3 linked regions of the Macaca mulatta genome follow. The protein of the gene in region 3 interacts with the protein of the main gene of each other region in a biochemical or structural test. Links are inferred from orthologs where the notes say so. Each region holds a gene or a part of one and is shown on either strand. Other genes may lie near its edges. The genes, in order: HNRNPC, MAPT and SRPK2.

Region 1 (3,749 bases), on a different chromosome or scaffold from region 3:
AGAAACTAAAAATTCAAATAAGTTAAAAAAAAAAAAGTCTAAGTCCTCTTATTTAAGCAAGGAGGATTAAAATCTATTTCTCCTCCTAGGCAAACTTACTCCCTATTCAACACCTCACATTCAACACTTAATATTAAGTTTTAATAATTTGCCCCTTAGTCTTTAAAATTAGAGCAACTAGCTATTTGAGTTTATTCTTTGTGTCGCACTGCCATTCCATCCAAAACAAGGTCGAATGCCATGTCAAATCCTCTAAGAGATTTAATTACAAACGTAAGCTGTTTAAATTCTCCACAGAAGGAACATCAACTACCAAGTATTCCCAAGAGTGGCACACGAATGGGGGGAAAAAAAGGTCAGAAAACCTGCAACCTGGCCATCCTTCAACTTTTCCCCCTAGCCAATACGCTAGCCAATACGAAAATGTTACTAAATGCCTATCCAGTTGAGAACACACCTGGAATTGTGATATAAATGCCGTGGCAAACAGTTCTTGATATTAAAGAATTTTTGGTACGCTGATATACATACTGATCTGATATACATACTGATCGGAAGGAACCCGTATTTCTAACACCTCAAAGGCAAAGAAAAGTGCCTGTCAATCAATTTCAGCTATTATCAACTGTTCTTAAATACTAACTTCTGACATTTCTCATTGCCAACATTTTTACTACATGATTTCCCCATTAATCTATTTTTGCCTTTACCTCATTTCTAACAGTTTAGCACGATGATAAACTTTAGTTTTAAGTTCCTGTAATAATATATTTAAACTTAAAGGGGTCGCGATGTTTTTGACCCTTATTTTACTTCCTATCAAATAGGTTGCCTTACAGATAAATTTCTTACCCGGCAGAATTGGTTTAAACTGTGCTTAACAGCTTTAGTTTTTGTGAAATTAACAGATTGTAAAAAATAACCAAATCTCATGTGAGGATTTAAAAAACCGATTTCCCAGATAAGTGAACGTGACACTAAAGATCTGTAACTTTAACTTACAAGTTTTTTATCAAATTTCAGCACCGAGCAAATAACAGCACTGTTAATATTTGCTTAATAAAATGTAGCTGTGAATTTTTGCCCAAGTTTAGGTGGACGGGAAAATTAACATCAGAATAACCCGAAAGTCAAATTTTGTCATCTTACACTTAGGAAGTTACGTTAACAACAAATTCTCAAGTCTCGTAGTATTTTTCTTAAGCGCAATTTGGGAATTTCCAGTTACCTCGTGGTTTCCGTCATCAGGTTCTTGCAAAGATTCAAATATTGTACTTTTAGAACCCGGTATTCCATTAACCAGGTAAAAACCACTCGACTGACCTCGTGGTCAAATTCCTTAGTAGTTCTGCTACTGACTTAATTATGACCCTAGCAATCAACACTTTGCCTCAGTTTCTGTCTGAGAAAGAGAGTTAATACCTACCTCAAGCAAAGTTCCACTAACTTATATATTTCAAGTGTTTTGTAACCTGCAGATGAAAAGTCAGCTGTAATTATTAATATAGTTATACACAATATTTCCTTTTACAAACGTAAGTGAAAATAACTACTTCGAGCTCCATTATTTGCTCATAGAGAGGAATAAAATAAAAAGTTATCAGTAAAATGCTAAATCTTTTGTTAAACCTTTCTCATAGGCCACGCGGCACGATCCAGGATTTAAAGGCTCGCGATACATCTACTTGGTAACCTTCCCCCTCCCCCTCCCCCAATTTTTACATGTAAGAAGAACCGAGGTAATAGAAGGCATCGGCGCTATGTTAACTTCGACTATATTAATGAACATCGCGATCTTCATTTTCAGGATCCCGGAGTCCTCGCGGTCGTAGAAAATGAAAGGAAAGCAGCCGTTAACACAGGAAGAGCGAAAAAAGGGCATTTTCCCTGGCGATCGTGGCCCAGAGGACACCAGGTTAAACCTACGCAGAGGCTGAGGCCTGTAAAACCGCCTCCCGCTTCAGACCTAATCCCCCAAAACAAACAGAATAAATGAGGGCCCGGTTAGTTAGGGGGAAGGGTTCCCTCATATTCTCTCCCACACCCCCTCTAGCTTCCCAAAAAACCCAGCGCCTTCCCTGCGTCCGCCCTCTCCACTTACCAGGAGGGGGGAGGGAGAAGAGATTCGATTCTGAGTCTCCTACTCCCGGATTCGGCGTGAAGAAACCGACTGCAGGTCGAGGTCGGCAGCGCGGCCACAACCGCTCAGTCTTCGTCTCTTCACAAAATGGCCCCCGAGTCTCCTCTGCCGCCGAGGCGAAGGCCTAGTCCCCGCCCCATCCCTAAGAATCTTCCTATTGGCTGTGTGTTTTTTCGCTCCCGCTCCTAATTAGACAGTTCAACCGCTTCTCACAATGATATCCAGTCACAATTGGCAGTGGGTTAGACTAAGCAGAAGAATTTCCACATGCGTGAGAGAAACTAGTTTGTAACTGGTTAATTTTCCTGTCATTTATCGTCTGGGGAATGTTTATTGGCTATTGCACCGGACGACCCTCTGGGTGGAAACTCGCCTTTGTATCGCGCACCGTCTCACATCCGGGTATCTGGAAGGCCTGATTGGCGGCCGCGGTGTCCTATCGCTGCTCCTTAGAGTGCCTAGTAAAAGGTTCGCTCAGACCTCGGATTTCCGGCGGCGCGGGGGCGGGGAAGGGCTTGAGGGGCGTTGTTAGGTGACGGGCGCAAAGGACTTGCCCTAGCCCCGGGCCTAGGAGAAAAAAAGCGCGAAATGAAGCCTCCGGCGTGCAATATGAATAAAGAAAGAACTTTACTTAAAATGAGGAGGGAGCAGCGGTGACTAGGCCGTGTTAAAGTGTGTAGAAAACTAACCAGCCCTGCCGTTTTTCCAACCCGAGAGCCTTTCTCAGGTCCAGATTCGAATGTCAGCTACCTCGTAGACATCTCTGCTTCTCAGCCTATTAAACCCTTCTTCAGACAACACATATTCCATCCAAACCAACTGACTTCCTTATTCCTCTCCAATATGAAAAGTAAATGAAGTGCAAAATCCCGGCCTCTGGCCCAAGTCATCTCACTAATATCTTAAGTGCCAGTAAAATTGGCCCATCCCTCCGAATCTGCTCCCTTAATTTCCCTCCTCTTAAAATGGCTTGTCTCCTACGTACCCCCGTCACCTGCCAGTCCTTCTGGTTACATTATAGGAACTGCGCACACAGTGGATTAGCATCAGCTCTACTAAGGGAGCCATTTCTTTTTTTTTTTTTTTTCTTTTTTCTTTTCTTTTCTTTTTTTTTTTTGAGGCAGAGTCACTGTCGCCCAGGCTGGAGTGCAACTGCCTCCAGTTGAGGTTGATTGGCGGCCGCGGTGTCCTATCGCTGCTCCTTTTTTTTTTTTTTTTTTTTTTTTTTTTTGAGACGGAGTCTCGCTCTGTCACCCAGGCTGGAGTGCTGTGGCCGGATCTCAGCTCACTGCAAGCTCCGCCTCCCGGGTTCCCGCCATTCTCCTGCCTCAGCCTCCCGAGTAGCCGGGACTACAGGCGCCCGCCACCTCGCCCGGCTAGTTTTTTTTTTGTATTTTTTAGTAGAGACGGGGTTTCACCGTGTTAGCCAGGATGGTCTCGATCTCCTGACCTCGTGATCCGCCCGTCTCGGCCTCCCAAAGTGCTGGGATTACAGGCTTGAGCCACCGCGCCCGGCATATCGCTGCTCCTTAAGGCGCCTAGTAAAAGGTTCGCCCAGACTTCGGATTTCCGGCAGCCTAAGGAAATCCTGAGTGACGACCTCCAGCGA
Region 2 (3,649 bases), on a different chromosome or scaffold from region 3:
TTGAAAGACCATTTAATACAAGCTTTGATAAAAATATTTATGTTAATGTTTTTTGAAGTGTTTTTTAAGAGAAAGTTGACATTCCTGGGAATGTCCAAAAATCCCCAAACTGAAAGGAACCCAGGAGGCTGGTGGTGTGCCCCACTGCTTGTTAGCAATTTTTCTCAACACACGGAAAACGGGACTAACGCTGCGGGGATCCCTGGGACCAGGATGATGTTTTCTGAGTAGGGGCAGGGCCCTGCCCACCTTCCTGAGCCATCACATGGACAAGTTGGAAACAGAAGGAGCCAAGAAGCTGAGACTCAGCATGGCTCTAACTCAGGTTCTTAGAGGACTGCAACGCACCAGGAACCTTCCAGAACATTGTTTTTTTTGGGGGGGGGGGGTCTCACAACCACCCTGGGACGTAGGTACAGCATTTCCATTTCATCTTGCTGAAGGAGAAACTGAGGCTGAGAGGATTTGCGGATCTTGACTCTCCGAGCAGAGTCAAGCCCAGAGCTCTTCCTAACACAGAGAAGCTTCCAGAGACTGCAGCGGGCCTCCCTTCACCCAGGAAATCGCCAATGCCCATGCCCCTATCCCGACCCACTCAGTCAGACTGTGGGGACGGGGCCAGGCCCAGGTATCTTTAAAGCGCCCCAAGGCTGGGAGGCCCTGCCTTAGACCAGGGGCGGCCTGGGTGGTGGAAACAGCAGAGAAGCTGACTGCTTCCTCAGATAACTGGGCCCGGCCCCCACATCCCTTGAGGCGGGCAGCCTCCTGGTCCCCCGCTGTTTTCTCACTTTGGATAGTGACCCAGGCACTGAAAAGTATCCCTGTGTCCTGCATGGCACAACCTGAGAGCTCTCGGCCAGCTACTATGGACCAGTGCCCTCGCCAGCCTCAGGGCCTGTCTGGAGGTGAGGTCTGCCCCAGGCCACAGTTTACAGCATCTGCGGCAAACACTTCTCACAAAACTACATGGTTAGACATTTATCACAAACACAAGATGAGGGTGCCCATCTGTTCAGAACCAGATGCAGTGGCAAGAGGGGAGGGCGGAGACTGACCAGGGCAGGGGTCTCTCAGCTGCCACCTGAGTGGCCTGGTGGAGAGACAGCCTGGTTGCCACTTCCACCCGACTGGGCCACCTCGAGAAGCAAACTTCCTCACGCCGAGCTGGGTCTCAGATCCCACACCCTTTCTGGGACACCCCGATACGGTTTGGCTGTGACCCCACCCAAATCTCATCTTGAATTATAGTTCCCACAATTCCTACACGTTGTGGGAGGGACCCGATGGGAGAGGATTGAATCGTAGGGGCGGGTTTTCCCTGCCCCTATGTTCTCATGATAGTGCTGTTCTCATGATAGTAAGTCTCCCGAGATCTGATGGCTTTATAAAGGGGAGTTCCCCTGCACAAGCTCTCTTCTCTTGTCTGCCACCATGTGAAACAAGCCTTTCACCTTCCGCCATGATTGTGAGGCCTCCCCAGCCACGTGGAACTGTAACTCCATCAGACCTCTTTCTTTTGTAAATTGCCCAGTATCCGATAGGTCTTCATCGGCAGCATGAAAACAGACTAATACAATCCTTTTCCCTCTACCACGCCCCAGTCAGCTCCTGGGAGACCCTGAAGGTTGGAAAGTGAGCCACTCCCAGAACTTCAGGCTGGGTGTGGGCAGGAAACCCCAGAGGGTGCTTGGCTGCGCTTCTGCAGAAGAGAAGCAGCAGCTACCAGACCGCATCCTGTGCCAGCCCTAGACAGATCTCGCTTAGCGCCACACACACCCTCACTGCACAGACACCCACAGCAAGACCTGGAGACTAGAAACTGCTGGGGACACCAAGGCCCCAGGAGCCTCGTGTGGACACTTCCACAACAGGCAGGCAGAGGCTTTCCTGAAATCAGGATTTCAGCATCATTGTTTTGCTCTAAGTGCCTAGTAACCCATTTAGAAAATTAGATTATGTTCCCATGTGTTCTTGGTGCGCCACAGGTGACTGGGGATGTCCACTTCCTTTTTTAGTTGTCTGCAAACATCAGGGCCTAGGACAGTGGTTCTCATTTTTTTTTTTTTTTTTTTTGAGATGGAGTCTCACTCTGTTCCCCAGACTGGAGTGCAGTGGCATGATCTTGGCTCACTACAACCTCTGCCACCTGGGTTAAAGCGATTCTCATGCCTCAGCCTCCCAAGTAGCTGGGATTACAGGCATGCACCACCACACCCAGCTAACTTTTGTATTTTTAGTAGAGATCATCTCTACTAAACCATCTGCCCACCTTGGCCTCCCAAGGTGCTGGGATTACAGGCATGAGCCACCGCACCCAGCTAGTTCTCACTTTTGACTGCACTAAAGAATCACCTGGGAGCTTTAAAAACTGCAGCCACTTAGGCCAAGCACTGTGGCTCACACCTGTAATCCCAGCACCTTGGGAGGCTGAGGTGGGCATATTGCTTGACCTCAGGAGTTCAAGACCAGCCTGGGCAACATGGCAAAACCTCGTCTCCACAGGAAATACAAAATATTTAGCCGGGCATAGTGGCAGGTACCTGTAGTTCCAGCTACTTGGGAGGCTGAGGTGGGAGGATCACCTGACCCAGGGAGGTAGAGGCTGCAGTGAGCTGAGATCATGCTAATGCACTCCAGCCTGGATGACAGAGGGAGAATGATACGGGCTGGCTGTGTCCCCACCCAAATCTCATCTTGAATTGTAGTTCCCATAATTCCATGTATCATGGGAGGGACCCAGTGGGAGGTAACTGAATCATGGGGGCGGGTCTTTCCCATGCCGTTCTCATGATAGTGAATAAGTCTCATGAGGTCTGATGGTTTTATAAATGGGAGTTGCCCTGCACACGCTCTCTTGCCTGCTGCCATGTAAGACATGCCTTTGCTTCTCCTTTGCTTTCCACCATGATTTTGAGGCCTCCCCAGCCATGTGGAACTGTGAGTCCATTAAACCTCTTTCCTTTATAAATTACGCAGTCTTGGGTATGTCTTTATTAGCAGTGTGAGAACAGACTAATACAAAGACCCTGCCTCAAATACTTAAAAATAAATAAAAACAAAAACTCCAGCAACTGAGTTGCACCTAAGACCGATCAGTCAGCCTCTCCAGTTGGAGCCCAGCTGTGAAATGTGCTAAAGCTCCTGGTGAAGGTGATTGAGACAGGCAGTCGAGACCCACTGGATGCTGCTGAGGGCCCACATCCAGCCAGTCAACACAGAAGCCTCTGTTTTCCTCCTCTGGGAACTGGACCAGTCTTTGTCCACTTGACTTGATTAATGCCCATACCCAAGTGCAGCATCCAACCCGCCCCCTTTACCTTTTTATTTCCTCCGCCAGGGACATGGGTGATATTGTCCAGGGACCCGATCTTCGACTGCACTCTGTCCTTGAAGTCCAGCTTCTCAGATTTTACTTCCACCTGGCCACCTCCTAGAACACAACACACACAAGAGCATCTTGCCATCATCTTCCGCAGTTCCGTGGACTTAGCACACATTACATGAGGTCTGTGGTCTACAGGGCAAAGTGCCAGGGGCTGCTGGGGCACAGCAAAAATTAGATCGGGAGCCACTGCTCTGCAGGGAAGAAGACAGTGACGGGACTTCCAGGTTTGCAGCAGGACTTGAACCAGGGCCAAGCAAGAGGTTT
Region 3 (3,649 bases):
ACCAGGTCCTACCCTCAAAGGGATAGAGCTTAAATCCAGTAAGTCTTCACCATTCAAACCCTAAGAGAACTGAAGTTTGAAATTCTCTTGGCCTTAAAGGAGAAGCTCCTCTTGCAAGTTTTATTTGCTGCTGTCTATATACAAAGTAACAACATCCCACCTCCTCAATGCCAAAAATGAAGCAGGTGCCTGAGCAGGTGTATGTCACTGTGTGTCTGGGGCTCACATATGAAGCTCTTAGCAGCCAAGACAACATGAATTCTAAGAGATAAGCCTATTCAGCAAAGGGAAAAAAGAAAAAGCCACAGCTTTTGTCTGCCTCCCATCATGGCCACCCGACTTGCCAAGCACTGGCAATGAAAGACTCCAACCTTTCAAACAATCAGTGAACTCAGGCAGCTCAAGCCAGGGAAAAACTATGGGAAACAATCCGGGCGTCTCAGCAGGCCAGGAAGCGTAATTATTACAGCTTCCTCTTGTTCCAGAACTTACATTCCAAATCAAGGGCTGTCTCAGTAAACATAGTGTTTTGCTGTTGTTTTGTTTTTGGTTTATTTTTTCTTTGAGACTGAGTCTCGTTCTGTTGCCCAGGCTGGAGTGCAGTGGTGTGATCTCAGCTCACTGCAACCTCCACTTCCCGAGTTCAAGTGATTCTCATGTCTCACCCCCTCAGGTAGCTAGGAGTACAGGTGCACGCCATCACACCCAGCTGATGATGATGATGATATTATTATTATTGACACGGAGTCTCGCTCTGTCGCCCAGACTGGAGTGCAGTGGCATGGATCTCGGCTCACTGCAACCTCCACCTCCTGGGCTCAAGCGATTCTTCTGCCTCAGCCTCCTCAGTAGCTAGGATTACTGGTGTCCACCAGCACACTCGGCTAGTCTTTGCATTTTTGGTAGAGATGGGGTTTCACCATGTAGGCCAGGCTGGTCTCGAATTCCTGACCTCAAGTGATTCAGTGGCCTCGGCCTCCCAAAGTGCTGGGATTACAGGCATGAGCCACCACACCCAGTATCTAACAAGGACATACAGTTTTGACGGGACCACAAAATAGATCAGTCTCTTTCTTATTTAATATCTGGATGGAAAAAAATTAGAACAACAGCTTCAGAAAAACAGGTAACTTAGCAGCCAATCAGAAATAATGTAAAGTGATTTTGAAATAAAAATACTTCAACTGCATCACCTCACATTTCACTGAACTTGGCCAACGACAGTCCAGAAAATGCATAAAGAAGACAATCTTTGAAAGGCTCTAACTATCCCAACTCTGCAAAGATACGAAAAATTAACAAGACAGGCTGGATGTGGTAGCTCACGCCTGTAATCCCAGAACTTTGGGAGGCCGAGGTGGGCAGATCACTTGAAGTCAGGAGTTCGAGAACAGTCTGGCCAACACGGTGAAACCCCATCTCTACTAAAAATACAAAAATTAGCTGGGTGTGGTGGCGGGTGACTGTAATCGCAGCTACTTGGGAGGCTGAGGCACAAGAATTGTTTGAACCCGGGAGGGGGAGGTTGCAGTGAGCCAAGATGGCACCACTGCACTCCAGCCTGAGTGGCAGAGCAAAACTCAGTATCAAAAAAAAAAAAAAAAACAAAAAAAAATTAACAAGACAGTAAGTCTTACCTATTTGAGGATACACAACTTTTATAAATGTGTTCACCCTTTAAATACACAACTTTTTAATAATTTGAACAACTCAATAATAAATGGTCTCTTTTGACATGGTGCATATAAAGTAGTATGTGTAAGTACTTACAGGTTTCTGCTGTGGAGCCGTACTCACTAAAACAAAATGAAACAAAATCGACATTTAGCAGAAAACAGACACATACCTTCACGTAGGTCATTCGAATTGCAAAGTGAAATAATTATTGTCTTTTAATGGCTATCCAACTTCAAAAACTATTAATCAGAGCTTCTTAATCACAGGAATCTAGAGAAAGTTTATGCACTGAAACAAATGAGTGACTCTTGAAGGCATAGCAGAAGTTGCTCACACTGAGCCATTTCTCTTATTTATCTAAAATGAAATACTAATACATCTCAAAAACAGTCAAGCCCAAAGCACCAACAGATAAGAAAATGGGAAAGAATTCATACATATCACAGTCATTAAACCAAATTTGTTTAAAATATAATGAAATGAACAATTTAGATTAGATGTACATCTATATTTGAAATCTATTTTGCAAGCTTTCTACAATTTAAATCAAATATTGCAGTTGGTATGCAGCAAACAGTCTGGGAATCACATGATTAAACCCCTACACCAGGGCCAAAAGTTTGACAGGCTGGGTCCATGATCTAAACAACACCCTGATGGCAGTAAAGGAGATGTGAAGAGAGCCCCAGGCAGTCCCAGGAGCCTCAGCCCTTTAGTATACATGCTTGCATGACAACACACAAAGGCACAGACCACGGTGTCGAAGAGTGAGAAACACAGTCCACACTTCACTGCACCACCACCCCGACCCCAGCCCAGAAGTAAAAATATCCCAATACTCAGGTCACTTGGTCTTCTTCCCCCACCATCAGGCCTTTTCTAAACTAACTCCAAATCTGTTGATAAAACTCAGATTGACATAGCTATGCTAAATGGACAACAGGAATTACTGTAACAAAACTGAAGCTAGAAAAATATTCTGATGACTAAAGGTCAGCTACAGGAAAGCTGTTACTATGTTCTCCTCTGCAGAGAAGTGGGCAACAGAAAAAAATGTTCAAATATAGATGAAGCAGCAACTACAAATTTAAATGGCCTTTTAAAGGGGGACAAAAGTAAATAATTTTAACATTAAAATATAATGTAGCTGGGGTATTTTCCATTTCAAGAAAAGGGTGCAGTTATTTCCAGCAATTAAACTTTTCCAAAAAGTTCCTTATATGTAACATTTGATTCAGATACCTTCAACAACTGCAACTTTGCAAGCTCACAACGCCCCCAAACTGAAATGAAGCTAGCTCAGCTCCCTCACCTGCAGACCCTGAAGGAGGAGGAGCACCTGCTTTCTGCCACTCAGTGGCCTCAGCTGCCATTCTTCTCACATAGGCATCATCCACACACATCAAGATGTTTTCTGGCTTTATGTCAGTATGAATGATCTTGCACTTACTGTGTAGATAATCTAACCCTTGAAGGACCTGGATATAGTAAAATCAAGAGAGAAGATAAGCTATTAATACTTCATTATATAACTTTTATTTATTTGAAAAACATGTAATACGATGACAAGGTACAAAGTTTGATAAACACAAAAGGATATTTAGTAAAAATCTCCCTCCCATGACTACCTGCATAGGAATCCAGCTCTCCTTTCTATAAGCAACAAATATGTATAATTTCAGAGATTATTTATGCTCATGGAAGCAAATGCATCTACATACAGTTGAACCTTGAACAACATGGGTTCACTTATACCCATATTTTTTCTGCCACCTGAGACAGCAAGACCAACCCCTCAGCCTACTCAACGCGAAGATGATGAGGATGAAGACCTTTATGATGATCTACTGAATATGATCTATCTACTTAATGAATAGTAAGTATATTTTATCTTCCTTATGATTGTCTTAACATTTTCTTTTCTCTAGCTTACTTTATTGTAAGAATATGCTATATAACACGTTAATCAACT

The links.
Region 1: of the proteins of SRPK2 (region 3) and HNRNPC, one has a biochemical effect on the other in vitro, tested with the Homo sapiens proteins (2 studies listed by BioGRID and IntAct). The link is inferred for Macaca mulatta from reciprocal best matches to the Homo sapiens genes SRPK2 and HNRNPC.
Region 2: of the proteins of SRPK2 (region 3) and MAPT, one has a biochemical effect on the other in vitro, tested with the Homo sapiens proteins (2 studies listed by BioGRID, with this or other methods). The link is inferred for Macaca mulatta from reciprocal best matches to the Homo sapiens genes SRPK2 and MAPT.

Annotation. Positions count from the first base shown.
Region 1 is NC_133412.1:94,117,264-94,121,012, forward strand, and holds the start of HNRNPC (heterogeneous nuclear ribonucleoproteins C1/C2), read right to left. Parts: upstream 2,274-3,749; 5' UTR 2,102-2,273; intron 1,473-2,101; exon of another isoform or gene 1,427-1,472; intron 1-1,426. UniProt on the Homo sapiens protein: Binds pre-mRNA and nucleates the assembly of 40S hnRNP particles. Interacts with poly-U tracts in the 3'-UTR or 5'-UTR of mRNA and modulates the stability and the level of translation of bound mRNA molecules. Single HNRNPC tetramers bind 230-240 nucleotides.
Region 2 is NC_133421.1:70,919,225-70,922,873, reverse strand, and holds part of MAPT (microtubule-associated protein tau), read right to left. Parts: intron 3,431-3,649; coding exon 3,318-3,430; intron 1-3,317. UniProt on the Homo sapiens protein: Promotes microtubule assembly and stability, and might be involved in the establishment and maintenance of neuronal polarity.
Region 3 is NC_133408.1:144,729,299-144,732,947, forward strand, and holds part of SRPK2 (SRSF protein kinase 2), read right to left. Parts: intron 3,156-3,649; coding exon 2,990-3,155; intron 1,797-2,989; coding exon 1,771-1,796; intron 1-1,770. UniProt on the Homo sapiens protein: Serine/arginine-rich protein-specific kinase which specifically phosphorylates its substrates at serine residues located in regions rich in arginine/serine dipeptides, known as RS domains and is involved in the phosphorylation of SR splicing factors and the regulation of splicing.